Linked DNA regions of Coturnix japonica. The protein of the gene in region 1 interacts with the protein of each later gene in a pairwise test. Links are inferred from orthologs where the notes say so. Each region holds a gene or a part of one and is shown in the gene's direction. Other genes may lie near its edges.

Evidence for each region.
Region 2: the proteins of GUCD1 (region 1) and CTH interact in binary tests that used the Homo sapiens proteins (3 or more experiments, as listed by UniProt). The two-hybrid records come from large-scale screens. The link is inferred for Coturnix japonica from reciprocal best matches to the Homo sapiens genes GUCD1 and CTH.

Annotation. Positions count from the first base shown.
Region 1 is NC_029530.1:7,450,368-7,463,278, forward strand, and holds GUCD1 (protein GUCD1), read left to right. Parts: upstream 1-396; 5' UTR 397-419; coding exon 420-630; intron 631-1,744; coding exon 1,745-1,829; intron 1,830-3,252; coding exon 3,253-3,418; intron 3,419-3,655; coding exon 3,656-3,817; intron 3,818-4,135; coding exon 4,136-4,227; intron 4,228-5,163; coding exon 5,164-5,405; intron 5,406-5,886; coding exon 5,887-5,978; 3' UTR 5,979-8,520; downstream 8,521-12,911. Other genes in the region: UPB1 (beta-ureidopropionase), read right to left, coding at 9,578-9,661, 11,609-11,763, 12,868-12,910.
Region 2 is NC_029523.1:26,179,682-26,192,299, forward strand, and holds the end of CTH (cystathionine gamma-lyase), read left to right. Parts: intron 1-107; coding exon 108-217; intron 218-1,254; coding exon 1,255-1,386; intron 1,387-3,246; coding exon 3,247-3,304; intron 3,305-4,219; coding exon 4,220-4,297; intron 4,298-4,964; coding exon 4,965-5,117; intron 5,118-5,323; coding exon 5,324-5,445; intron 5,446-6,111; coding exon 6,112-6,164; intron 6,165-7,988; coding exon 7,989-8,127; intron 8,128-8,797; coding exon 8,798-8,824; 3' UTR 8,825-9,510; downstream 9,511-12,618. UniProt on the Homo sapiens protein: Catalyzes the last step in the trans-sulfuration pathway from L-methionine to L-cysteine in a pyridoxal-5'-phosphate (PLP)-dependent manner, which consists on cleaving the L,L-cystathionine molecule into L-cysteine, ammonia and 2-oxobutanoate.

The DNA of each region.
Region 1 (12,911 bases):
CAACACTGCGGCTCTACTCCTGGGACAGAGAGCACAACATAGAAGTGAATAAAGGAAACAAACTCCCAGTCGTTCTGCAGTTCGGCTTTGCCTACAGGAGCCGATTTGCTCCATTGAACAAAGGCCTCAGTGCTTTGGCAATACACGCCTATCCCAAGGCCCGGCCCAAGGCTGAGGGCAGCCCACCCTCTCAGCCCACATCTGCCGCCCTACGAAGCTGCAGGCACATAACAAACCCCCACAACAGACCCACCCCATAACAAACCGACCCTATAACAAACCCCCACCGACACTCACCTCCCACCAACCACCCTAATGGCCGCCGCCTTCCCGCCGTGCACAGAGCCCCGGAATCGGAAGGGCACAGGAGCGGATCCTGCTACTGCTCCTGTCCCTCAGGGTCTCGCTGCCTTATCACGATGGTTCCGCTGCACTTTTGTTCCTCCCGAAGGCAGCTCCCTCCCTCCCAGCTCCGAGCAGCCGCTTCGGGGTCCGCCCCCTCCGCAGCCGGGAGGAGCCGTCGCCGCAGCAGGGCATGGCGCGGCCCTAAGTCCGGCGGGGCGGGTAGTGAGCGGGCGGCCGCCGTCATGAGGAGCCCCCGGGAGCCGGGGGAGCCCCCTCCGCAGGCAGGTCAGTGACAGCTCCGGGGCCTCGGATCGGGGGCGGCCTGTCAAGCACTTGGTGGAGCTGAGAGTGCTCCGCCTTGTTTACAGCCGCGGGTCGGGCCGTGACAGCTCTGTTGGGGGTGGGGATGAGAAGCGGGCAGCGCTGGGCCTGGTTGTTACCTTTGAAGTCATAGTGTATGGAGAACAGGGACATCCACAGTGAGTTGTGGTGTTAGAAGGCCCTGGATGGTAACAGAGAATGGACCTGCTCATAACACAGCTCATAACACACCGCCAATGCTTACATTACTTCCTTCAAGCGGGATTTGAGGGGCTGTTTGTCCTTCTAAAGTATAATCAACATTGCTAACAAACACTGAGTACACCAATGGGTGTGTGCCAGCTTTCAAAGTTATGATTAAACCCAGTGACGTGATTGAGAAAGTGCACCGCGTTGTTGCTGCAATAAGCCGTAACTCAGTGAGAAAACAGTTTAAAACTGCAAGACATTGTCCATAAAGTTTTACATATAAAGCTGTGTTGAAACTGCAGCAGCCCCCAGGATGCTGAATGCTTTTTATCCCCATCTGAAAGCAGAGCTGACTCTGTGTTAGCAAAGGTTTCCAAGGGTCTGTACCAGATCGAAGGTAAAGTCATTAAGAAAAGCCTTTTATGATTAACTCACTTGGATTGTCTTTGAAGTTACAATGCCAAGCGGAAGCACTTCAGTCCATCAAGCAATCTGGGCTTTGCTGAAACTGAAACCACTACTACTGCCTGTAAAGAAATAACAAAGGATGAATTACTGATATTGCAGATTTTCTTGATATAGATTGGGTTTTGTCTCTCTTCTTTGGCCCTTTTACAGATGGTGTCATTTGTGAGCTGTCTTACCTTAAAAAATTACTCACAAAAAGACATGGCAGTAGAAGAGGCTGAAATCCATAGGGCTTGTAAGAAATCACTGCCTAGAGATCCTGGTTGTGTCTGTTTTTTACCCATTTGACCTATGACTTTTTGTTGGCACAGAATACAGAGCTGAGAACAAGCTGAATTGGAATGGTGAAGTACAGAAAAACATTCCCATATAACGACTGACAGCTTTTACATTTTACTCACACGGGGTGTTTTCACTGCAGGTGAATGTGTGCAGCTGAAAGTGCCCATCATTCAGCAGCTGTACCACTGGGACTGCGGGCTGGCCTGCTCCAGGATGGTGCTACAGTAAGTGCTGTTTTCATTGGAAGGGTGGGAAATCCCAACCCATGGGAGAGGGTATCAGGAAGCAATGTGCAGGGACATGAGGTGTATTGGAGCAGCTGTGAATTTTGCTTAGCAAGAACACATATCCCTGAATACCTTGGAGAATTACTGCTTCCAGGGCCTAGCACAGCAATCCAGAAGGGAAATTACAAGCTAAGACAAACTTAAGACCTTTTGAATAACTGTTCTGATTGATCAGCCCTGAGCTAACAATTAAGCAGTTTGGTATGCTTAAGCTGATAAGAAATTATCCCTCTTTCCTGTTGTTACAATTCAGAACTGGTATTTACCACAGCAAGTCACGTAATTCCTTTCTATATCATTATGCAGTGGATAGGTTTATCCTAGTTTCTGAGTATACTGCCTCTGTCCTGCTGAGCCCCCAGCCTGTGGGGTGAATGGTTTTTGTTCCAGGAGTTGTTTCAACATCACAGCTGTGCACTATATTGCCATCTCTTTTCTTTTTTTTTGTTTCTTTTTTCTTTTTTTTTTTGTGAACCTGTAGCTGTTCTTCTGAACTCCTCTTTCCTTCCACAGAGGAACATGTTAGGTGCAGGAGAAATACCTATTTAGATGTCCACTTAGTAGATATGAAGGAGAAGATTTTCATTTCTCTCCATCCCTTCTGCCAAGACGTTAGTCCGTGTGCTGGTAATTCCCATCTTGACTTCTGTAACCTCTGCCTCTTCATTCCCTTTAACCTCTTTGCCACACCAGTCTGTCCAAAACTCAGCATTCAAGATTAATATTCTCACCTTGCAGATCTGACCTTGTTTGCCCTGCTTCCTCAATTTGTTTTTTCTTCGTTTAATTCCATTTGTTTTGACCTCCAGAACTCTGTAACTGCCCTTCCCTATCCCTTTGCAACCTGTCCCAAGCTTTCTTCAGACTTCATCTCCCCCCTTACTGCCTTTTGTGTCATCAGTGCCTAAGCAGGCTTCCTTTGAATATTTATCAACTTCCTTTACAGTTCCTCCTTTTGAAATTCATCTGTTGCTTGGAGCAGGCTTTAGTCTTTACTGCTGCTTTCTGCATTTGCTCTATTAACCTTGTATATGTAGATTGTAAGCCCTTCAAGATAGTTCTATACTTGCTCAGTATAGCTTGCCTATTGTCCAGCATCCTGTATATATTTAGTACTACAGAGCAGTTGAGATACCTGTATATTTCCAATAAGAAAAGTCAGAAATAAATCCATTTATGTATTCTCTGCTTCCTTCCCTTAACTTTGTGGCTCATTTGTGGGTTGTTTTATGCTTATTTCTTAGCCAAGCCCATTGTATCAGTTTTTCTGTCCCATGGATGTGGAGGTTTGGGCTACAGAACATACTGTGCTTCTCCTAAGATCTGTGCTTCCTTTCCCCTACCTCTACTAATACCATAGGTACCTGGATCATTTGGACAATGATGAATTTCAGAAAGCCATCCAAGAGCTCCGGTTAACAAAGAGTATTTGGACCATTGACCTGGCCTACCTAATGCGGCACTTTGGTGTTAAGCATAAATTTTGCACCCAGACGCTTGGAGTGGACAAGGGTTACAAAAATCAGGTTAGTGTTCTCATTTATTGGGAAATGACAGGCAGTTTTAAAAGGGCCCCCTATGCATCATGCTAAAATACCTCTGCTGTCTTACTGCTAGTTAGATATAGCTCCCAGAAACAAGGTTTGCCCGCTGCCCGAACTGGTATGGATCTGTTCCAAAGCAGAAACTAGATATCTTCCCATCTTTGTTTACATCTTTGATTTCATAATATAAAGTTTTTTGTTTGTTTTGTTTTTTTAAAGTTTTCATGTAGCGTTCATGAAAAGTTACAGATTATTAACATCCTTGGAGACTGGAGCCCTCTACCTGCCTATGGAACAGGCACAGCCTGGGCAGCAGCAGTACTAGCTTCCAACATTCCCCACCACCATGACAGCCCAGACCTGGAGGAACCACCTCTAGAGGTGAGAGACCAGCTCAGCCTCCGTGTCCGTGAGAGCTTGGCCTCTTCCAAGTTTGCTAGTGAGCACTTACAGCAGCATTAGCTTTTGTGATACAGCCTTCTGCCCAATACAAACCAGAGAGACTTCCTTCATGTTGCCAGCTGAAGAGCCACTGCTTGGAAATTACAATAAGTGAGACCAGGAATGAAATTAAAGTGATAAATTAGAGCAAGAATTCTTATCTTAATAGCAATGAATGCAGGGCCTTGCTAGCAGAGATGGTGAAGTGGATTACCTTAGGTGAACGCCATTCTAGTTCACAACTTCTGTTGTCTCCAGTCATTTTACAGGAAGCACTTTGACACAGAAGAAAATCGAGTGAATCAGCTCTTTGCACAAGCCAAAGCCTCCAAGGTGCTGGTGGAGAAGTGGTAAGCTTATTGTTCTCTTCTCTCTTGTTGGAGACTCTGGATCCCATGTTAGTCACTGAGCTGAACTGGTGAAAGATAGGCTGAAATGAGACCTTCAGCCTTTCTGTGAATTAGTCTTTTTATTAAATGTCTTGAAAGAATGGATGTAAAGACTTAACAGTGAAGTCTGAGGAGCAATAATGATGACAGAGTGATTTGAAAATGCTGACGGGAGTAGACTACTAGTGTTCTTTTTCACAGTCTATATGGCACAGAGTCCGCATGGTACTACCTGTTAACTGAAGCTAACAGAGAAGGGACAGTTGGTCCATCTTGCTTTTAAGGATCATGTTCTTGATAAGGCAGGGACAGAGTGAATATCTACCTGATGCTTGGGGCATCAAACAGGAGAAGAAACAGTGGGAAGATTAAAAAGCACAAGTTCAGTCATGTGTAACACACAGCCCTACATCTAAAACACATCAAAGAGATGAGTTTTAATCCATCTGGAGTACACAGTGAAGGACAGTTTTTAACAAATGAGATTTTAGGTTATGGTTCATTAATTCTTCTTCTCTGTAGGAGGTGCTATAGAAACACAGCTGCAAAAGAACTCCAGCTCCTCTGTGTCAGGGAGAGAGGCAATTTGGGCGTGTAATTAAGTTAGTATACAGTCTTTAACTGTCAAGTTCTAATGGCAGGATGGAACACTTCACTTAAGATTTCCCCACAAGTCTCTCAAGTTATTAAGTTGCCAGTTCGTTTAATATTCTTATCCCAGACATGTGATACATTCGGATATTACACTTTTAGTAGTGCAGAATTCAGTGCTATTGCTCTGCACTTTAAACGCAGCAGTGAGATCCAAAGGCCTTGAATTTGGTCAGGCTTTCTCTGTAGCAAACCCTGGAGGTTTTAACATCATTGAAAACCTGTCTGTTTTTTTTCCCCCCACAGCACAGTAACAGTTCAAGACATCCAAAAACACCTGTCCCAAGGTCACGTAGCCATTGTTCTAGTGAATGCAGTCTTGTTGCTGTGTGACCTTTGCTCAAGTCCTGTCAAATATTGCTGCTTCCTACCCATTGGACAGAAGTGCTTCTGCAGGAATCCTGACTACCAGGGCCATTTCATTGTGTTATGTGGCTACAATACAGCCTCAGGGAGTATTTACTACAACAACCCTGCCTACGCTGACCGTGAGTAGCTTGCTCTTTTTGGGTGAATTCTCAGCCACCTCATCACTAACATTTCCATAATGCAAAGCCACACTAATGGGGACTTCCCATTTTAGCGTGCGCTTATTTCAAGCATTACTAAACAGTTTGTCAGAATAGGTTTTGTTACACTCATTAAATTAGTGCAGCCATTTGTTCTGTGATTTACTTCAGACGCTGAGATGCACATTCTAGCAAACTCAGAGTGGTTTGAGAGGTGCTGAACTGTACCTTTGTGCTGAGTAAAGCAAGATAACCAATTTAATACCTATTCACAGCATTACTTCTGTGAGCAATGTCTTTTAGATGAGAAGATAAACTTCACTGAGTGAAGCTGTAACATAAGATGATAAATCTAGTCAGTATATTAGTTACCTTTCTCTGCAGAGTCTGCTAGACCCAGAATAAGAGCCCCTCGCAAGCATCTTAATTTTTACTAACACTTTGCTCCTCTTTTAAATAGGGACATGCTGCACCAGCATCAGAAACTTTGAAGAAGCCAGGAGAAGCTACGGCACAGATGAGGATATTCTGTTCATCTACACAGACAGCTGACACCCACAGCTGTTACTTCTGGTCCTTTCTGGTGCAGCCTGCACAGCAGCTGGCTGCTTGTCTCAGGCCACCCCCTGCAGAGACCTTCCTCCTGAACTGCAGTGGGATCTTAAACAAGGGAGGTTTTATAGACATTGATAGGACTATATTGCAATGCTGTCTTTACCTTTTTATTCTGGATGAAATATCTGATTTTGCAATGTATGTCATAGTTGTGTTTTTTTTCCCCTCATTTTTAACACTGCACATTTGACAGCAGTTTTGAAATACAGGCCTAAGGCCTGTTCACTTGGAGCTTATTTTCAAATGATATGCATGAGGAAAAAAAGCACCAAATTTATCAAGTTCAACACTCAGTAATAGATACGTATGTCTAGGTAAACAGAAGCAGAAAAAGAATAGACAATACCTGTTTCACTCTCTTTCAAGCAGGGGCTGATTTTCATCCTCAGTCTAAGGATCTGAGGTTCAGCAGGGAATTAATGAAACAAAGAAATACTGATGTTAAACCACCTTACCTTCAAATGATGGAATTGCCTTATTGGCCACTCAGTATTACAACAGTGAAACATTTACTCAAGGAAGCTTCCCACAAGATTCACCTTGCACAGTTTTAGCATTTATAGTACATGGGATTCAGTTTTGAATAGCAGTTACTGAGATTGTTCCCTTGTGCTGCAAACTCCATCTCTTTTGGCTAAATATTTTTAGGTGACTGTCTAGGGCTCTGTATTACCTCAAACGTTTAGGTAAGGATATTTTATTTGGACCTAGGAGTCTTCATTGCACTTTGCAAAATCCTCTAGACATTATTGCACCCATATGTGCAATTATCTGATGCACCCAATCTAAATATATGTTTATGAAGCAAATACAGAAATCATCCACACACTAACGGTGCATGTTTTGTGTGTAAATTTTAAATAACAAGAGAGACTAGATTGTAACTAAAATGCTGAATCATATTTTGAGCCAAACTTCCCTATTTGCTTTCATTTAGCTAGCTTCTCAGAAGAGCTTAATTAAGAATACTGTGAATACAAGCTTCTTTTTGCTGCAGTAACAACAACAACAAAAAAAAAAAACCAAAAAACTTATACTGCAGCTGCATTTGGATTAAGTGGGAGCTCTGTTCAAACATTTTCAAGTGAAATTGTTAGTAGTCCATTCATAATCCTGTCATGTATTACCAGGGTTTAGTGACCATGCTGGGGAGCACTGTAAAGGTGTAGAAATAGCCACCTATTTCAGATTTGGCCATCACAATTTCTGACAGGTAGGTAAAATTGTTAGTACTCGTGTATTTCTGGCAACATTTTGTTCTACACTTCAGGCAGAGATCTCCTGACATGGCTTTAGGAACGAAACTGTTCAGGTTTTGGAACTGTGTGGAATAACAATAAAAGGATATTGTTATTTAGTGGGGGAAATACTTTCAGCATGAGGAAATTTCTGAGAGAAACTATCTTCTACTATTGCTGGTTTACTGCAGACTATCTGGAAAGCATGCAGTAAGTATGCATAGTAAAATCAAAAGCACTCCTTTGTACAGAAGCCAAAAAACAGCAATGTAAGTGTAAAATGCTTTGAGAAGTTCTGAACAAGGTGTACACAATAAGAAACTCTCAGTGTACCTTATCCTGTTTATCAGGGTGAAGCTGGATTACATTCTGGCAGCTGTCCATGCAAAATGAATGAAAACTGGGATGTATCTGTGATCAGCAAAACCACTATATTAGCAGAAACCCAGAAAATGATCAGAGTACAAATCCTACAGTACACGATCCCTCCGACATTAGTCAGCAGATGGCTACCGGTCTTGGAAATTTTATATCCACGTTCAAATTCACAATGTTTGGCTTAGAGGGATTGTATTAACTATGTTAATAATTAACAGCTATATAAATTACAGGCTGATAAAAATAGTTACTTTCTTAACCCAGGCGTTTTCCTTCAGGTAGTCCATTGAGTAGCATTGAACTGCCACAGAATTAATTTTTTTAGAGCAGGCTTGGTTAGCAAATAGATAAATAAATTCTTACAAAAGATGTGTAACTGACGTTAGCTTCCACATGTGAACCTTGAGCTTGTATATAAAACATGAACTTAAGGGCATGGTAAATGGTCTGAAATGTACAGAACCAAAGCTGTTTATGTTAATACAGATGAAATGGGAGCTCCGCTTACTACAGCAGGATCTCTAATAGCCAAATAGAATATGGTAATGAGAGAGGAAAATACAAGGAAGAAGAAGGAGGGAAGCAAAAAGGTGACTTACTTAAATGACACAAAATCAGGTCAAAAAGAAACTCACTGGCCAAGTGTCCAGAACACCTGCATTTTGTGGCATATTGTTTTCCATGGGAAGATCATCCATCAAAACATTCATTCTGAAAATGTGTAGTCAATCACTTTGTTTCCTTCATGCTGTCCATAGCAAAGGAGGGGGTATTTTACATGCAGGGATTTTATACATAAATATATTTTTATTTGTAATTAAGCCATTCTCAATAAAGGTTTTAAGTCATGGTTAACCCTGTAACGTGACGTAGCAGGTATATTTATCTACTGGTTTATTATGAAAAACGTTGGAAAATCTTTAGAGGGTATGTTTTATACTTAACTGGCACAGCTTAAATGGTTGTGTGGATTTCTCCTTTTTAGGAGATCAAACATTTGATCCACTGTTACAGTGGGACAGAAACCACTCCCCACACCCTCACCTAGAGGCTCAGGGTCCTGGCAGACACAAGAAGCCTGACCACCAGTGAAGACTGAGGCAAAGCACTCATTGAGTACCTCAGCTTTTTCTGTGTCTGAGGAAGCCAGCTCCCCATTACCTTTCATCAGAGGGGGAACACTGTCCTTGGCCTGTCTCCTCCTGCCTATGTACCTGTAGGAAAAAAAAAGCATCTGCCTTCCAGCCCTGCTTTTACACCCCAAACGTGCCCATCCCAGACAGTGGTCCAACTAGGGCTGAAATATATGTAGTGTGACAGGAAATACAAAGAACCAAAGTGGTGATAGTTTACAGGACACACAGATCTCCAAACAACTAGGACATGCGTGGGATGATATTTAGCTCTAGCAGAACTGCATTAAATGGGTGGCAATTAAAAACAAAGAAACAAGCAAAAAATAACAAAACAAAAATCAACCAAAAACCATGAAAACAGTTTATGTCTCCTTTCTCCTTCAATTATGCATTTGGGTAGAGTGTATAAACTGGAAAGCAGAAGCAGACAGACATGCAACTCAAAATACTTATATATAAAATCTTTTTTTAATCTCCTCTCCATCAAACTGTGCAACCCTGTAGACAATACTGGATAAATGCCATCATCATTGTGTATCGATGTATTCTTCATTGAATATAGTTCTAACAAGGAACAAAGGTTTGGAATCATTAGTGCAAACAAAAAAGAACTAACAAACAGAACTCATTTTTTTATTATTTTACTTCACATAGTTTTGAACCCTACTATTTGCAGAGAATTAAAATAACATGAAAATAACAACTTGTAATTCGTAGTAAATTAATGCAAAGTTGCACCTTTTCATTTGCTTTGTACCATTTGATTGTATTAAGCTGATCTCACTCACTCTCGGATTATGTTGGGTGTAAAACAAGGCTGGACTGCTTCAGTGAGCTCGTCTGCATACATTTCATATCTACCAGTCATCTGCAAAAGGAAATCAAAGCTTCAGTTCCGTTAGCTATGAAAATATGTCCATAAAAAAGCAATATCTACCATGTGTTTGTTTCTTAATGTAGGCATAATAGTTAACTGACTTAAATAGTAAGATGAGAATTCAGTCAAAAAGCAAACCCTCCAAAGTGAAAGTCCTTCAAGTCTGCTGACTTAAGGCTGTGTTTTAACATCCTGGATAGCTGGAAGCTGAAGGTGAAAATCAGGCTTGCTTTTTTACTCATCAACAACATTCACTTTTAAGTCAGTTATGTCAAGGATAGAAAAGGAGCGTACCTACAATTTATGTCTTTGTATGATGTCCTTGACAACTGATTCAACCAACTGCCAGCAGCAGGTGTGCATATGCATCACTGAGGGGATTTGGTTACTCTCAGTTCACCCATTAGTAGTACAAACTATTGTAGATTTGGATGATGAGTTATAGGACAAGCTAGGATACTGGGATACAACACTCTGCATTCTGGTATCCTCTTCCCAAGTGCACAGTCTGCAAAGTGAATTGCTCCTCTCTTGCCAGCATGTAATGAGGACAACCCATATAACTGTTTTGTTGCCAATAAATCTTATATTGATGTGCTACTGATGGCCCATTCGGGTTTCACTGGGTATAAATAGCAGATACTGAGACAAGTTAACTAAGTGCCTAAGCACTACAAAAGGATTTCTGCAGTGGACAAATGATTTTGTATTTCCTTATTCTCCTCATATCAAAGCACTATCTCTGTCTTGGCCACAAATGAGAGGAAAACTATATAGATATCCCCTGTCATGTAAACAAAAGCCACAGCTGTGCCTCATGTGCCAAAAGACCAATGGTGGTAATGCACACCATCAACAGAAAACTGCAACGTGCTGAGAGCACAATTGAATTAAAAATAAAAATAAAATATTCTATACAAGACAGCTAAAGGTCAGTGCTTTGCTTTTAATGCTTTTACTGGGTTTTTTTTGTCTCCTAATCAATACAATTGCTTTTGATTGGATGCCCCTACAATGCTCCATATGCTTCCTGCCACATTACATCTCTGCTCTGCAAAGATGGCTTAAGATTTCAGTTGTAAAGCATAACTAAATAAATGCCTGCACGACTCAGAAGCCAAGGGATTTCACTGCACAATTTAAGCCCATTAGGCCAACCACCATATGCCTACCACGTACCTGCAACACATCACATGCAATTCTGTACAGAAAAGGACCTAACACTGCTTTACCATTTAATGCCTATATACAGATGAGCAGTGCTCACAGAGAAATTTGGCTCTAAGAACTGATTAACTAAAACATCAAGATTGTTTGCAAATTATTATCTATTTTATATACTTGAGGTGGGAACAACTTAAATGAGCACTTAAATGCTGCTGGAGGAGGTACTCCAAATTCATAGAACAATAGAATCAAGGACAGAAAAGTCCTCCAAGATCCTCTAATGCAACCATCCACCTACCACCTACATAACCCAAATTAGCTTTGGCTGAGAATTCAAAACATCTAAGCCATGTTAAACCACACAGAAAGACTTGCAATTGCCTTGATCTGGTTGAGATTAACTCAAAAGCATATCAGGACGCTTCAAAGAAACTATGCTTCTTTTTCCTCTGTAGCACGTGCATGTCCACAAATCCAGAAAGTTATCACTGTAAGATTTTTGCACATACACAAAGGTAAGCTCTTCATTTCAAGGCTATTGCCTTGGTTTCCCTGAATTTGACTATTCCCTTTCTGTACCCATTTATACCTTTAGCCTCCACAACATCCTCAAAACCATTCTATTCTTTCCACAGTTTAAGCCGTGGGTTGCTGAAGGAAGGCTGCCTTTTAACTGCTGTAATGCTACACGACTGCTAGGAAAGCTTGTTTGCTCTAATACCATACATGAATTGTTCTTAAAAACAGGCATTTCTTTATATTTAGGCTTACCTTAAAATTCCATTTGTCACTGACTTGTCTGCAAAGATTTAAATCCATCTCTACGACAAGAAGTCCATCCTGAGTACGAGAGAGTCCCGGGGTCCTGCTGCCATCTGGTGCAGCTACGTAACTTGAGCCATAGAAATGGCCCAAGTCATGGTGTGCTTAAAGAAATGTTTAATAAACATGTAATGTTTGCAAACAACTACACAACTTCACATGCAGTTCCCCATAGTACTCGGTTCTATTTCCTGTGGCTGTCCCTTTGCAGCGCTTCAAGCAGTATCTCATCCCAAGCAGTTTACAGCACAATCTTAAGATAACTGCAAGTTTGACCTTTAGTTATTTTTCATGTACAGTACAGCTTTCAAATCTATCAAACAAATAGAAAAAAACAACTAACTTCATTGCTTCTAAATAATGCATGATGCTTTCCCATTACTAAGCCACTACACTAAATGCCTAAATAAATAAAAAATGAAAGCAAAAATTTAATTGAATGCTAATTGTCAAATAATAAACTTCCAAAACAGTCAGAGATGCACACATTTAATTTTTAATACAAGACCTGAGGTGAAAGCATGGAAATTTGAGGCAGGAAAAAATCGTACTTCATACTGTACAGCTCCAAACTGTGCCAACCATCAGCCATACACACTGCATGACCATATATTGGATATCACTAACCTTGATGCAGCTGCATCTCTTAATTATTAATTATAATCAGTTGGTTTTCTTTGGTTTCTCAACCAGTCCTTACTTGGAAGTTATGAAAAACAGAATAGAATTAGCCAAGAATATTTCTGCATAGAAAACCATTCAGACCAGTTTTCCACCAGCCACGACACAGATGTTGCTTCTAAATCACTTTCATGTAATTATAAGCTTTTCTTTAACCCCTAACGGATTTATGAATCAGGGCAAAATAGGTTGGCATGTGATGCAGGCTGGTGCTATTAAGGTTAATGATCTGAAACCTGTATGACAGATTAATTTGTGGGATTTCTGTCTTCCAGTCCTACAGCACTGCCTTGACTCCAACACTTAGCCCTCTGCAAACATATAGGGACATCATGTAGGAACTACTGACCACACACCATGGTACAACTACCTTTAATTGGAAGTGCTTCTCCTCTACAGCTTACAAAGCAGCAGTCTTAAGTATGGCTAACATAGCTGTCATGGGATAGACACTTGTAAGAGAGCTCTCGTTCTTCAGACTACACAATAAGTTATTAGCAAGCACTGCATGCAATTTCTGAACATACCTTTTCCACCATCCCCAGAAGTAAAGGCGTTTTTGTAGTATTCC
Region 2 (12,618 bases), on another chromosome or scaffold:
ACTGTGCAGTCTTGGCTTCCATGGGTGCAAATAAGAGGCTGGAGATCAGCAAAGGAAACTTCCTAAAATCGTTTCACTCCGTGTCTCTGCTTTTTCCTTTTGTAAAGGTACAAACAGATACTTCCAGACAATAGCCTCGGAAATGGGCTTAAAAATAGTTTTTGTGGACTGTACAAAATTGAAATGCCTGGAAGCTGCAATTACACCTGAGACTAAGGTAGGGGAGAGAGAAATTGCTGAGCTTATATGCTTAATGACCTTAAATAACTTTATTGATGCTACTGCTGGCTGGTATGTGGCAAGGTTTTGGTGATGGAAAGGGCTCAGGCACTGGGTGGAGGCAGGAGGAGAGAAAGAGTAGGAAACAACAGAGGGAACCGCAAGATCAGAGGAGGAGGATGGAGGAGGGGGAAGAGATGCACAATGGCACAAAGGAGAGAAGTTGCCCTCTGGATGGTAGGGAGGAAAGGTGTTTCATTGGCAATAAATTAAACTGCTTTCTCCAGGTTGCCCATGATACCAGTTGGTGGTTGGTCCGCCTGTCTGTTGTGACCTACGAGCATTCTCATTTGAGCCTTGAGTGTCTGCCTAGCGCAGGGATCATAACTGGCCCTATGATGGGCTGTTATTTACTGTATAAAATAAAACAAATGCAGTGCCTGGACATAATTACTTTCTGAAATCTCCAGGAAGCATTAAATAATTGGACAATTTCCAAGTGCCTTAAGATTAGAAATAGGAGAACATCCCTAAGCAGTAAGGGCTTGTTCAGAGAGATGTGTTGCCTCTTCCTATTGAGGAGGAGAAAGAAGTCTTTTCTGATACCTACGTTACTGTTGGCAGTCTAAAGGAGCTTTTTTTCTTTTTCTTTTTTTTTTGGGGGGGGGGGGAGTTGCAGTTAGTGACACTGTAACCATGATATGAAAATGAATAAGGAGTACTTTGGAACAGTAACAGTTTTAGAGTAACATATAGCAGAGTAATAATTCTTTAAGTAAATACAGTGTTTGTGATGGTGGAACTGATAGTAGTAGAACTGTCCTAAAAGATACCGATGGTGATTAGTGGTGGTAACAGTACCTTGTGTTTATTTGTGAAGCCTGGGTATTCCTGCTTTGATAGGTTTTTAGGTGGGTACCTTTAAAAATTCGTAAGAGGTGGGAAAGTTTTGCTTTTGGCGCTGCATTGTGCATGTCTGGTCACCAGCACTGTCGTATCCCTAAAGAGATGCTTTGTATTGTTGAATTACTACAGCTTGTTTGGATTGAAACGCCCACAAACCCCACGCTGAAGGTCATTGATATTCAGGGCTGTGCTGATGTGGTCCATAAGCATAAAGATATTCTTCTGGCAGTAGACAACAGTTTTATGTCTCCATATTTCCAGGTAAGTGCTTGCTTTCCTTGTAGTTACCCTGGCATTTCAATGTCTTCAAAGATGCCTTTTTTAAAATGGAACCACTGCTAAAACCGTCGTTTTGATGTGTGTGCTGTAAAATTGCCTCTAAATGCAAGCAATGCGCTGCTTCTTTATAATTTAGCAGAGATGGCATGCAAAATACTTTATAGCTAGCTATATGCCAGTCTGACACCAACAAAAGCAATGTGGCTCACAGCTTAAGTAAACAAGCTTATGCAATCAAGAAGGTAAGTTGAGCCATCAGGACGAAAGCTACTCTGTCACTCAGAAGTCTTGTGTTTTGTAGATCTAACAGGTGGGAATCCTAACAGACCTACTGAAAAATGTATTGTTCTCCACCTTTGTCTTTTTTTCTACCAGTTCTTCTGCATGTGCTGCTTGAGATCTGTTTTTGGTATTCCAAAAAGGAAGTGGAGAGAATGGTTAAAAGAAGAAAAAGATTTTAACTGTGTCTTTCAGGTGTTAAAGTTAACTTTTTCACCAGTATTTTGATGAACAGGTTTTGATGTTGGACAACTCATACAACTTTTGTGCTTTAATAACTAGAATACAGGAAGTAAAGGGAATTCCAGAACTCTAAAAGTACTTCTAAATAATGAACTTCAAGGTCTGGTTCATCTCAGTGTGGGCTAGAAGTATCCCCATGTATTTCCCCAGAGATCAAAGAAATCCCTCATCTTTTAGGTCTTTAGGTCTACAAAGAACTTCTTTTTGAGTGCAAGTAGGGAAGATGTCTTTTTTTCTGTTTTCTTTTTTTTTTTTTTTTTTTAAATTTTTTTTATTATGGTCACTGAGATCGTTATAAATTAAGAGAGCCCTACAGGAAGTGTTAATGCTTAGCTAGAGCAGCTCTTGAGCTTGTCTTGTATATACCAAAGATGCTGGTTTCTTTTCCTTTTATTTATTTTACTGTTGAAAGATGTGTGTGTAAGGAGAAGAGTCAGCATCTGTGTCTGTGAGCTAGTTAATGTATACTTCATTGGACTGGTCCTCAGAGGGAGTCAGTAATGATTAAGCCCAGTAAGCATAATAGGTAATGTTTTTAAACTCCTCCAGACTCCTGAGTGTACTAAGAAAATCATAATTTTAGAGTGATTTATGTAGCAATATTGAGTATAAAAGGCACTGGTGTTTATGCTACTGTTCTCTTGGCTGCACAGTGGGAATGCACATTATCCATGTTCCTGCGGTAGACTTACGTGCTTAAGCTGACAGCAACACTCTTTTATTCTAAATCTGCTTGCTTTGTCACCTTTTAATGTATTAGTACTCTCCAGTCTTTATAATCTGTTTATTTTATACACGTAAAGTCCTTTACTTAGGGACTAATTAAAAAAAAAAAAGTTCATAACTTCTTGCCTAGTGTAGTCTTGGTTTGACTCTCGCCTGAGAAAGGCTCCTAGGCTGAACATTGAGCACACCAGGGATGGGAGACTTGGCAAACAACGCCCTCTGTGCTTTCCTCAGGTGTCCAGCTGTCCTTCCAGTGCAGTAGCAGCAATGTGGGTTTCTGGAGAACTGAGAAGAGCTCTGCTTAGTGTGGAGGCCTTCCTTTTCTAAGGAGATACGCTCGAGGCAGCATTACATGGCACTGCCTCAGCTAAGCAACATAACTGGTTTAAGAACGAAGTGCTTTCTTTTACATCTGGTTTTTGTCCCACTTTCTATCTTTCTTCACTCTCACTTTTGTGTCTTGCTTTTGTTTTTCCTCTTAGTTTCTCTCTCTTGTAACTTTCTGTGCTTGATCACAGTGTTTCTGGGCAGCTTGGAAGGAACCAGAGCGCAAAAGTAACTTTAATCAAACCTATTATTTTCATTTCTTTTTAGCGTCCTTTGTCCCTGGGAGCTGACATCTGTATGTATTCTGCAACCAAATATGTGAATGGTGAGTGCTTGGGTCCAGCACAACTCAGGCTGTTACAGAAAACCCATTTAAAAGCTACTGCAGAGGTTTTCTGCTCTCACCTGTTGATCCACTTCCATGTCTCATGGATGCTTTTAAACTCCCTTTTGCCATAGATAAATCCATAGGTAGTAGCTGTTGCTATTAGCACCAACAAGCAACATTGTGCAAACACAGTTTGCATGGTGATGGAGCCCAGATGGTTGGTTTTAATAAGAAAAACAAATCTACAAGATCAGAGTCTTTTTCAAACTTGGGCTCCCTCCAGGCTCAGCTGGTCTTACACTGTCCCACATGGAACAGTCTTGAGCAATGAAAAGCCAAAAGTGGCTTTTGGAAATGCACCATGCACATGCACTGAGCCATAAAACCAAATGTGAGACTTCAGTACAAGGTCGCTGCTGGAATTGATACCAAAGTTGAAGGCATGTTTTATGTGGCGGTGCTGGAGCCTGTTCAGAAGCACATTCACTGTGTTGTTTCCTAAACAACCCAGGCTAAGGGGTGGCCCAGCAGTAACAGCTGTGCTGTGAGCATGTGTCTGCTTGTGGTGCAGACTAAAGTGGAAGTTTTCTGCTTGGCTGCAGCTCCACAGGAGCTCGACGGTGGCTGGACAAAGTCCTGCTTCCTGGCAGCTCACTGCAGCATGTGATGGGACCTGGAGCACCAGCACAGTGTGTGTCAGAGCACACTGCTGACCCTCACTTCAGATCATGTGGGAATCTGCTTATGTTCCACATGACAGCACAGCAAGGGCAGCTGTAGCAGCGAGAAGGAATCCAGCATGTTGCCAAAATGGGACTATCTTAGCACCAAGACTGAGAAAAGAGAGGGTTTGTGGAGAACCCTGGTGGAGATAAAGTGGCTCACTTTCTTCTTATGTTCTTGCATTTTTAGGGCACAGTGATGTTGTGATGGGGCTCGTTTCAGTAAATCGTGATGATCTGTACGAAAGGCTGAAATTCTTACAAGGCTGTAAGTAGTAAATGTAGGAAATAAGTTTAAATATATTGTATTCTGATGTACCAGCTCATGCTAGGAAGCATATGGCATGCACACAAGTACGTGGCACATCCAGAAAGCATCAGGTGCAGAGTGGCTCAAATGTGCAGTGCCTGCAGTTACACGGGGCATGGCTCTTCACCAGGTCTCTCTTCAGGTTAGGATTAAGTCTATGGCAGAAAGAGCACAGGCATTTCCTGGATTTACCTGACTTCACTCACAAAAAGGTTTGCAAACCTTGACATATTTGGTGAAGTTCATCCAATTCATGCTAATTATATTTTATTTTTAAAAACTATCCTCTGATGTGAGTTTTAATGATTTTATTGCCTCTTAATTATATTGAATAAATTTCCATGCAGTGTCCTCTCTACAACAGAAGGAATAAAGGTACACTGTACCTAATAAATTTTGTGTGCAAGTCTTCAGTGTGTTAATTTATCTCACTAATTGGCTTCCCATGTGTGTGAAGCAAGAGCAGCAGATCGTATCAGATGTCTTCACTCGCGTCTTGTTGTAACTTAAGAACGTTGGGAAGTTTGGACTGTAGTTTCACTGAAACAAGCAAACAAACAACAACAAAACCAACAAGAAAACCCCTCTTTGTTCCATGTGTGGTTTTGTGTCTCAATTCCCATAGCAATCGGAGCCATTCCGTCTCCCTTTGACTGCTTCCTCTGCAACCGGGGTCTGAAGACTCTGAAGCTGCGGATGAATCAACACTTCCACAATGCTTTGGCTGTGGGTCGATTCCTTGAGTCAAATCCCAGAGTGGAGAAAGTCATTTACCCAGGTAGGTTGGCAGAACTGCAGGGTCTGGGTGCTGCGCTGCTACGTGCCGCTTGAGCAGCCTTCACGTCTGATGGCTCGTGGTTAGGTATCTCGGCAATGAGCTTTACATTCCTTCCCATCAGAAGGATGTTTTGTGCAGTTCAGGGTGAGCTGCTGTACCCTTTGATGTGATGGTAATTAACTGACAGTGGCTCCTTCTGATTTCAGGATTGCCTTCCCACCCCCAGCACCAGCTGGTCAAGCGGCAGTGCACCGGCTGTTCAGGGATGCTGTCATTTTACATTAAAGGAAACCTCAAACATGCTACTATCTTTCTGAAGAGCATAAAGGTAAATGATGGCAAATACACTCTACTTTAATGTGAACTGAATCTGTCCTTCTGAGTGTGATGATGGAAGCAGGGTTTATTCTTGGGGCAGGGAGAGTCTTCCTCTGTACTTTTAAAGCTCCTAATTTATTTTGGGTGTAGCCATCTCTAAATAATAGATTGTGCATAAATTAGACGCTAATGAGAGGGAAGAAAAGGATATTTCAGCTCATTTGAGGTGTCTGTTTACACAATGTGGTGTAACGTCTCCAGGTTAGCCCAGGCATTGCTTCTAACCAAGAGCTGGCCTATTCTAATTGCCTGCAGTACTTGAAGGCAGAGTGGCTGGTGCAATACTGCTGTTGAATTTCAAAGCACTTGTCAAGACATTCTTCAAAACGGTAAATGAACCTAATCCAGAGTTAGGTTTGCTCAGCATGGGCGTACAGTTTTGCATCTGCAGTTCTTCAGAGCTGTTTTGAAGTGAAATCTTGATGGCTCTTAACCACTAAAAGTAATTTTCTTCTTCATTATAGTTAATACTTCTTAAAATACAGAAGTCACTGTTGAAAACCATAGGGAAAATTACGTACTAAAAATGGAGGTTTCTTTTTCTTTCACTGTCTATTTCTAAGCATTAATAAACTTATGCTTTTTGTGTTCACTTCTGTTTACTGTTTCCCTGTAGGTGTTCACACTGGCTGAGAGCCTGGGAGGATATGAAAGCTTAGCAGAGCTTCCGTAAGTCCTTCTTCATCTTAACAGTCCTAAAAAAGCTGCAGAGTAACAAAATTCCTCAACTTTTTTTGTGGGAGTTCTAAAATGTTCAGGTATACAAAGCAAAGATAGATTGCCTACAATTGTCATCCAAGAATAGCGTGTTGTGTAACACAAAAATGGAGACTTCTCCAGAAATGAATTCCCTCTGTGAAACAGGAAGGCCGACTGGTGTGAGGTGGGCGTGCAGACCTGAGGCTGTGCAGATGTCTTCACTGCTGCAGACGTTGGGGTTGAGGCCTGGAAGGCTCCCCCTCCCTCCCCAAGCTCTGGATGTTGGTCACCCATCTGCTCGGGTGGCCCCAGCAGCTGCAGCAATTTCTTGCTGTGGGATTCTTCCAGAATCACCTGTTACAAAAATCTCAACAGCAAACGGGTTGAAAGGGGAGGAAAATGTTCATGTGGTTTAAATAGTGTCTGTCCTGACAAGGCTAAGCTGTTCTGCACTTGTGGTCTCTGCACATATGCAAAATAGCACTGCCCACTTGCATTCAGTGGGCTCCCCTGAATGCACTGTGGAGAGGCGAGAAGTATGACATGCAGTAGCGGGAGCAGCCCATGGAAGCTGCCCCAGGGAGATGCGTTGTCTGCACAGATGGCTCCAAGTGCTGTGCCTGCATCTGTACTTGCCTGGCTCTCCTGGCTCAAGCTAGACCTGCATTTTAAATAAACATCCAAGCACATTCATCAACACTCTCTTTTCCATTTCCTCAGTCACCCTGTGGTGCTGCTGGCCATGGCTGGAATTTCTCACTAGCTCTTGGCTCTGCTGAACAAATCATTCCAGAAGCACTGTGCATTTTAGCAACAGATTTGCATTACTTTCAGCAATACTACTGCTGCCAATGTCCTCACTTAGTGCTGTAGGTGGGAGACTTAGCCACCGTTTGGTGTTACGGTAGCAATTCCAAGGAGTCAGGGTGATTTAGAGCAAGTAGAATCGAGTGGATTTGGCTACACTGCCGTTCTAGCTGCTTACACAAGAGGGCACATTCAGTACGTTGCACTGAACCGAGCCTGTCTGCATGCTCAGCAGACTTGGTGGGGATTTTAGTAGTTCGTAGGCACCACTGTCCAGGTTAAAGGGTTACTAGTAGGATTCTTCTGTAATGAGATTGCTTTGCTGAAATCTGATTTGCTAGTCAAAAAATACATGGAAAGTTAAGGTTAAAGATCTGTTAAATCATTTTGGTTTCTCATTTTGGGATGAGGCATCTTTAAACACTTCAGCTGTTGAAAGGTAATTGCAGAGTAGTGGATGTCAGTGACAAATGGCTTCTTAGCTTCCTTCATAGCTGGGGAGAATATTCTTCCACATGCATGGTACAGTGTGACGGGTGATCTGAGGAACCAGAAGTGAGAAACAAATATCAGGGGATTTCATAGTGGAGGTGGCACATGTAAACCTTTCCCCACATGCTTAAAATAGAGCTTTTAGATGCCACTTACCAGAAATGTTAGCATATGTCTGGAAGGCGGAGAGAAAGTGTTTTTCTCAATTTCAGTTCCAGATTATTTAAGTATCCACTTCTTACTCATCGTTCTTTGGAAATACTGTACTGAGATTCCGGGAGGTGGAAGCCACTGGCTTCACCATGGTTGGCATAAGGTGCAGTAATTGATGATGAAATCTCTTTTGGTCTATGGTTATCCAGCAGGTGGCATGTCAAAGGTGTAAAGTCTTCTTGGAACTACAGGGAATGCTGGCAGGTGATCCATTTCCTTGATTTTTTCAAGTAAAAATAACGTACCTTAGGAAAAATTCTGCTTTCTTCCATCTTCTTGCAGGGCTGTCATGACTCATGCTTCAGTGCGTAAAGAAGACAGAGAAGCTCTTGGAATCAGCGATACATTAATTCGCCTGTCAATTGGTTTGGAAGATGAGGAAGATTTAGTGGAAGACCTAGACCAAGCTCTGAAAGCTGCAGTAAGTTGGCTGCTAGCTTAGCGCCTTTACTCTGAAAAGGATTTCCTCCCTAATTCTCGGCCTTTCTCACTAGTCACATGTGAACTCTTTCAGCATCCATCCTGAATCTCAGGAATAAGTTAATGAAGTGATGCAGCAGCTGTCTCCTCATAATTCTTGCTTCACTTAACTTTTAAGTGACTCAGAAGTGTACTTTATGGAGTCTTTGCAGTCCTCATTAGTCACAGTTCATGTGGATTCCTGCTGCAAATAGGATGTCCTTGGAGCCCAAACAGCTAAGACAGCTGCTTGAGTCAGCCTGAATGGAGACTCATCAGGCATCCAAGTGCTTGGTGGGAGTGCTTGCACTTCCACTTTGTCATGTCATGTCAGAGAGCAGGGTGGCACTGAGGGGGTAAAAAGTGAATGTGGGTTGTGCACCGTTTTTAGCAGGTGTGTAGCAGTTTGATGTACTGCACAGACAGGAAAGTGTTGTGTCTAATTGGTTGTGTGAGATGCCTGTAGCAACCAGCATCAGAAACTACATGTGTTTCTATACACCAGCACAGATGATGAAGAAAATCTAGTGCTTAAATGTGTCCTATTTCTGCAAAAGAAAAGAAAACAAAAGAGGTACCTGGTCATTGTAAGAGCACAGCCTAATTACTCACATTTCTCCTTCTCACTGTAGATCCCTGACCCTAAGGCTTTGAAATGATGGCTGAAACCTGGAGACATCTAAAGAAGATGATGCAGAAAATCAAACGGCTGACAATTTTTCTTTGATATACCTTTGAGAACTGAAATCTATTCAATCAAACTCTGGGTTCCTGGGGAGCTGTCACTTTGTGGTACCATGCTTGTTGGGCTCGTGTCTGGTTGTGCACGTGCTGTGCACTGTGACATGAAGCCTGTGCTGTTCTGTGTGTCCATTTCTGCTGTGCTGTGACCCTCTTTCTTTGGAACTGGTGGGTCAGTAAGTTGTGTTTGAGAGCAGCCATGAGACACACTCAGGAATACTGTCATGATTCTCTCCAGGGAGATGGATGTTTCCCATTTGCCTTACTAATGCTTTAGGGGTGCCGGATCAGTAGGGTTTGTTTCTGCTAATGCTCTTTAGGATGCAAATTTCTGTTTTTCTTATCTCTTCTAATCTAACTGTTTAACCTAAATATTGCTGATAACGTTTAGATTTTCCTTTTTAATGAGGTTTTGAAATCTGGTTTAGTACTTTTTCATCTTTTATGGGATATTGAAGCAAAATCCAATGTCTGGTTAAGAATTGCAGCTTTTTAAAGGTGATTCTCTGACCTAAAAAAAAAATTATAATGTGCTAACTGTGGTAATGATTTGGTTTTTAGAGTTAGGATCGTTTTGATTAAAACACAATTTGAATCTCTCTGATTTATTCTTGTTGTGATATTTGGGTGCGCTGGTCGCGTTCTGGATCGGTTGATAAAGTGACCCTCAATCTGTTAAAATTTATAGTTAAATTTATAGGAAAATGACATCATTGATGTAGTGGAACAGGTTGCCCAAGGAGGCTGTGGATGCCCCATCCCTGCAGGCATTCAAGGCCAGGCTGGATGTGGCTCTGGGCAGCCTGGGCTGCTGGTTGGTGGCCCTGCACACAGCAGGGGGTTGGAGCTGGATGAGCACTGTGGGCCTTTGCAACCCAGGCCGTTCTATGATCCTGTGATGTTTTACTTTCATCAAGAAATAGAAATTCCGACACGCTAACTGCAGTGCTCAGGCAAGCAAGGCTTTCCCTTGGACAGGAGGGCGACTCACAGAAGGGCACCTATTTGCAGATGAGGGCTGTGCTGCACGGAGATTCTGCTGTGGCCTTTGGCAGCATCCACACCAGGCTCAGGCCCAGCAGCTTTCTCAGCCAGGCCCGGGCTTTGCTTTTCTTCTCTTTCATTTTCCTAATGGGAGCTGATAGGAAATGCTGCTTGACGACTTCTCTCTCATCAGCTGTTCAAAAGCTAGAAGCCGAGATGAAACACATTCATTTGCATCTTAGCCCTAGAAGTGCTAATTGTGATTCATTCTCTGCTAACCTGTCTGGAAGGAGAGTGAGACATCACAGATAGATGTTCATTGACTTCTGCAGAATGAGCATTGCTGCTGAGCTGTCGGGATAGACATGCATTTGACCCTAAGTATAAAAGCATCATTTGACATCATGACATTAATTCCACAGGAAGAACTTCAGCAAATAATTCTTTTTATGTGTAACTATGGGTACAGCTTTATAACTATTGATCCACTCGGGTACCCAGAAGACAGAAAATACAGCCACGGTGGATTATTCACTCTTCCTTTTTCTCTGTATTGTTGTGTTTTGGCAATGACAAAAGGAGAACAAGCATTCCCCTTCTTTGTTTCTTTTCATAACTTCATAACTGAAAAAGACATGAGCCCTGTTTTCTCAGAAGTTGATTTTGCTTCTTCAGAAGTGACCGTGGTATGGAGACAGCAGGGTTTCTTTGGCTGTCTTTTGTATATATTTAAAACAAGAAGTGTCGAGGTGCCCCAGGTGGAGCCTGGTGAAGGGGCAGTGGATGCACTGGCTGTGCTCTGTGTGCCAGTGTTCCCATGGCTGCAGTCTGCCGATGCTGCTGGTCAGCCAGGGCCTTTCCCCAGCTCTCCTGCAAATGCCTCCATCATAGAATTTAACCTCTTCTAATCTGCTTCAACTGGAAAACATAATTAGCTTCTGACTGTCAGTTCTGCGGGCACTGAGGTGAGGCCCGAGGGAGCCATCACTTGTATTTCACCGTGGAAATTTCTGCAGTGGATTTGTCTCAGAATAAATTGCTCAGTGACAATGTGAATGACACAGAACCAGTGCAAGTGGTGAGACCAGGTCAGGGATAAATGTGATAAAGGTGGGATACTGTCAGCAAACGAGAATGCTTTGAAACAGGCAAAATAAGTGAGGACGTCTAACAAATGGTCCATCAGGGCTCCCTGTGGACTGCAGGGGGTGAATCGTGGTCTGTCTGGTGTTTCACAGAACGTTCTCTCTGAAGGTAAGAGGACTTTCATCCTCTGATTAGATTTTGGGCATGTGGCTTCAGATTGCATTACACTTCAAGGGAAAGTTCTTCTTTTATGTCGGGTCCCAGATTGTGCTCCTTTTGAAGAAAAATTACATTTGCTCCCCAGAAAATGGTTGTGTAGTGCTTGGCCCTAGGAGTGAGGACAATTAGAGAGCATCTGGGCAGAGGAGATGAGTGGCCTAATGGCATTAGGAGCGAGGTGAGCCATACGAGGTGTGATCTGTCCTGCCCTGCTGCCTGCGCTGTGCAGCATTCAGTGCTGGCCGATGCTCGCATGTGGCAGCAAGAGGAGCCCACAGCTCCCTCCAGGCCCAGATTCCTCACACTTGACCTCTTGCTGTTTTCTGGCCGCTGTCACATTTGCAGTGTTTTGATGGAGGTTTTTTTTTGTTTTCCAGCCGCAGCGCAGCCAAGAGCCGCAGCACATTAGTCAGATCAGTTCTTAGAAACTCCAAGCTTTTACTTACAGGAAAGTTGCTGTAATTGAAATCTGCTATTTGTCATAATTATGTAAACTAATATATGTATAAAATATCAAGTGCATATTTTCCATCTGGATGATGGTGCTCAGTGTGAGTGCAGGCCCTGGCAGCTCCACTGACCCCATGCCTGCGGTGCTGCAGGTCAGGGCAGGCAGATGGCTGCTATGCAGCATCCTGTGTGCTGACTGCTGCTATGGGCGTTCACTCCAGCAAGGTGAGTGCAGTCCTGTGTTAGCACAGCTTGCTTTGCCCCTGCAGCCCTGCCTTTGGGGAGCACTGGAATGGAGTGTGAGGCTGAGAAGCGCTTCATGATTATTTTACCCACTGCCGTGTGTGGCAGCTGATTTACAAATGCCGTTTTCACTCCCTCATGTCAGCTCCCTTTAGGAAAACATCCTCCCACGTCCTGCCCAAAGGTTGTGCAGCATGAGGCAGCAGCAGGAGGCTCCATCACACAGCCACACCTCAGCAGACCCACAACACAGGTCCCAGCTTAGGGACACTGTGCTCAGTGGGCCAGGGCGCTGCTGGGGGTGAGCCTGGGACTGGAGCTGTGTCCCCATCCCATTGCATGGGACCCTGTGATGCTGTGGCAGCACTTCAGAGTGGAAAGAAGTCAAGAATGAGGGTTAGAGTATCTGATCTGTCTGTGGTGGACATTCATTTGTCTACAGAAGTGTGGTCCTTGTGAGAGTGAATGTAAAGTGGACTGGAAGTGGAACACGTTGCCCAAGGAGGCTGTGGATGCCCCATCCCTGCAGGCATTCAAGGCCAGGCTGGATGTGGCTCTGGGCAGCCTGGGCTGCTGGTTGCTGACCCTGCACACAGCAGGGGGTTGGAACTGCAGCTCCTTAGCTTGTGTCAGCACTGAGCTAGTCTGTAAATTACCAGACCTCTGGAATGGGAAACTCTGCATCTTTCTTAGGAGCTGCAAAGACTGCAGTTATGGAAACTGTACACAT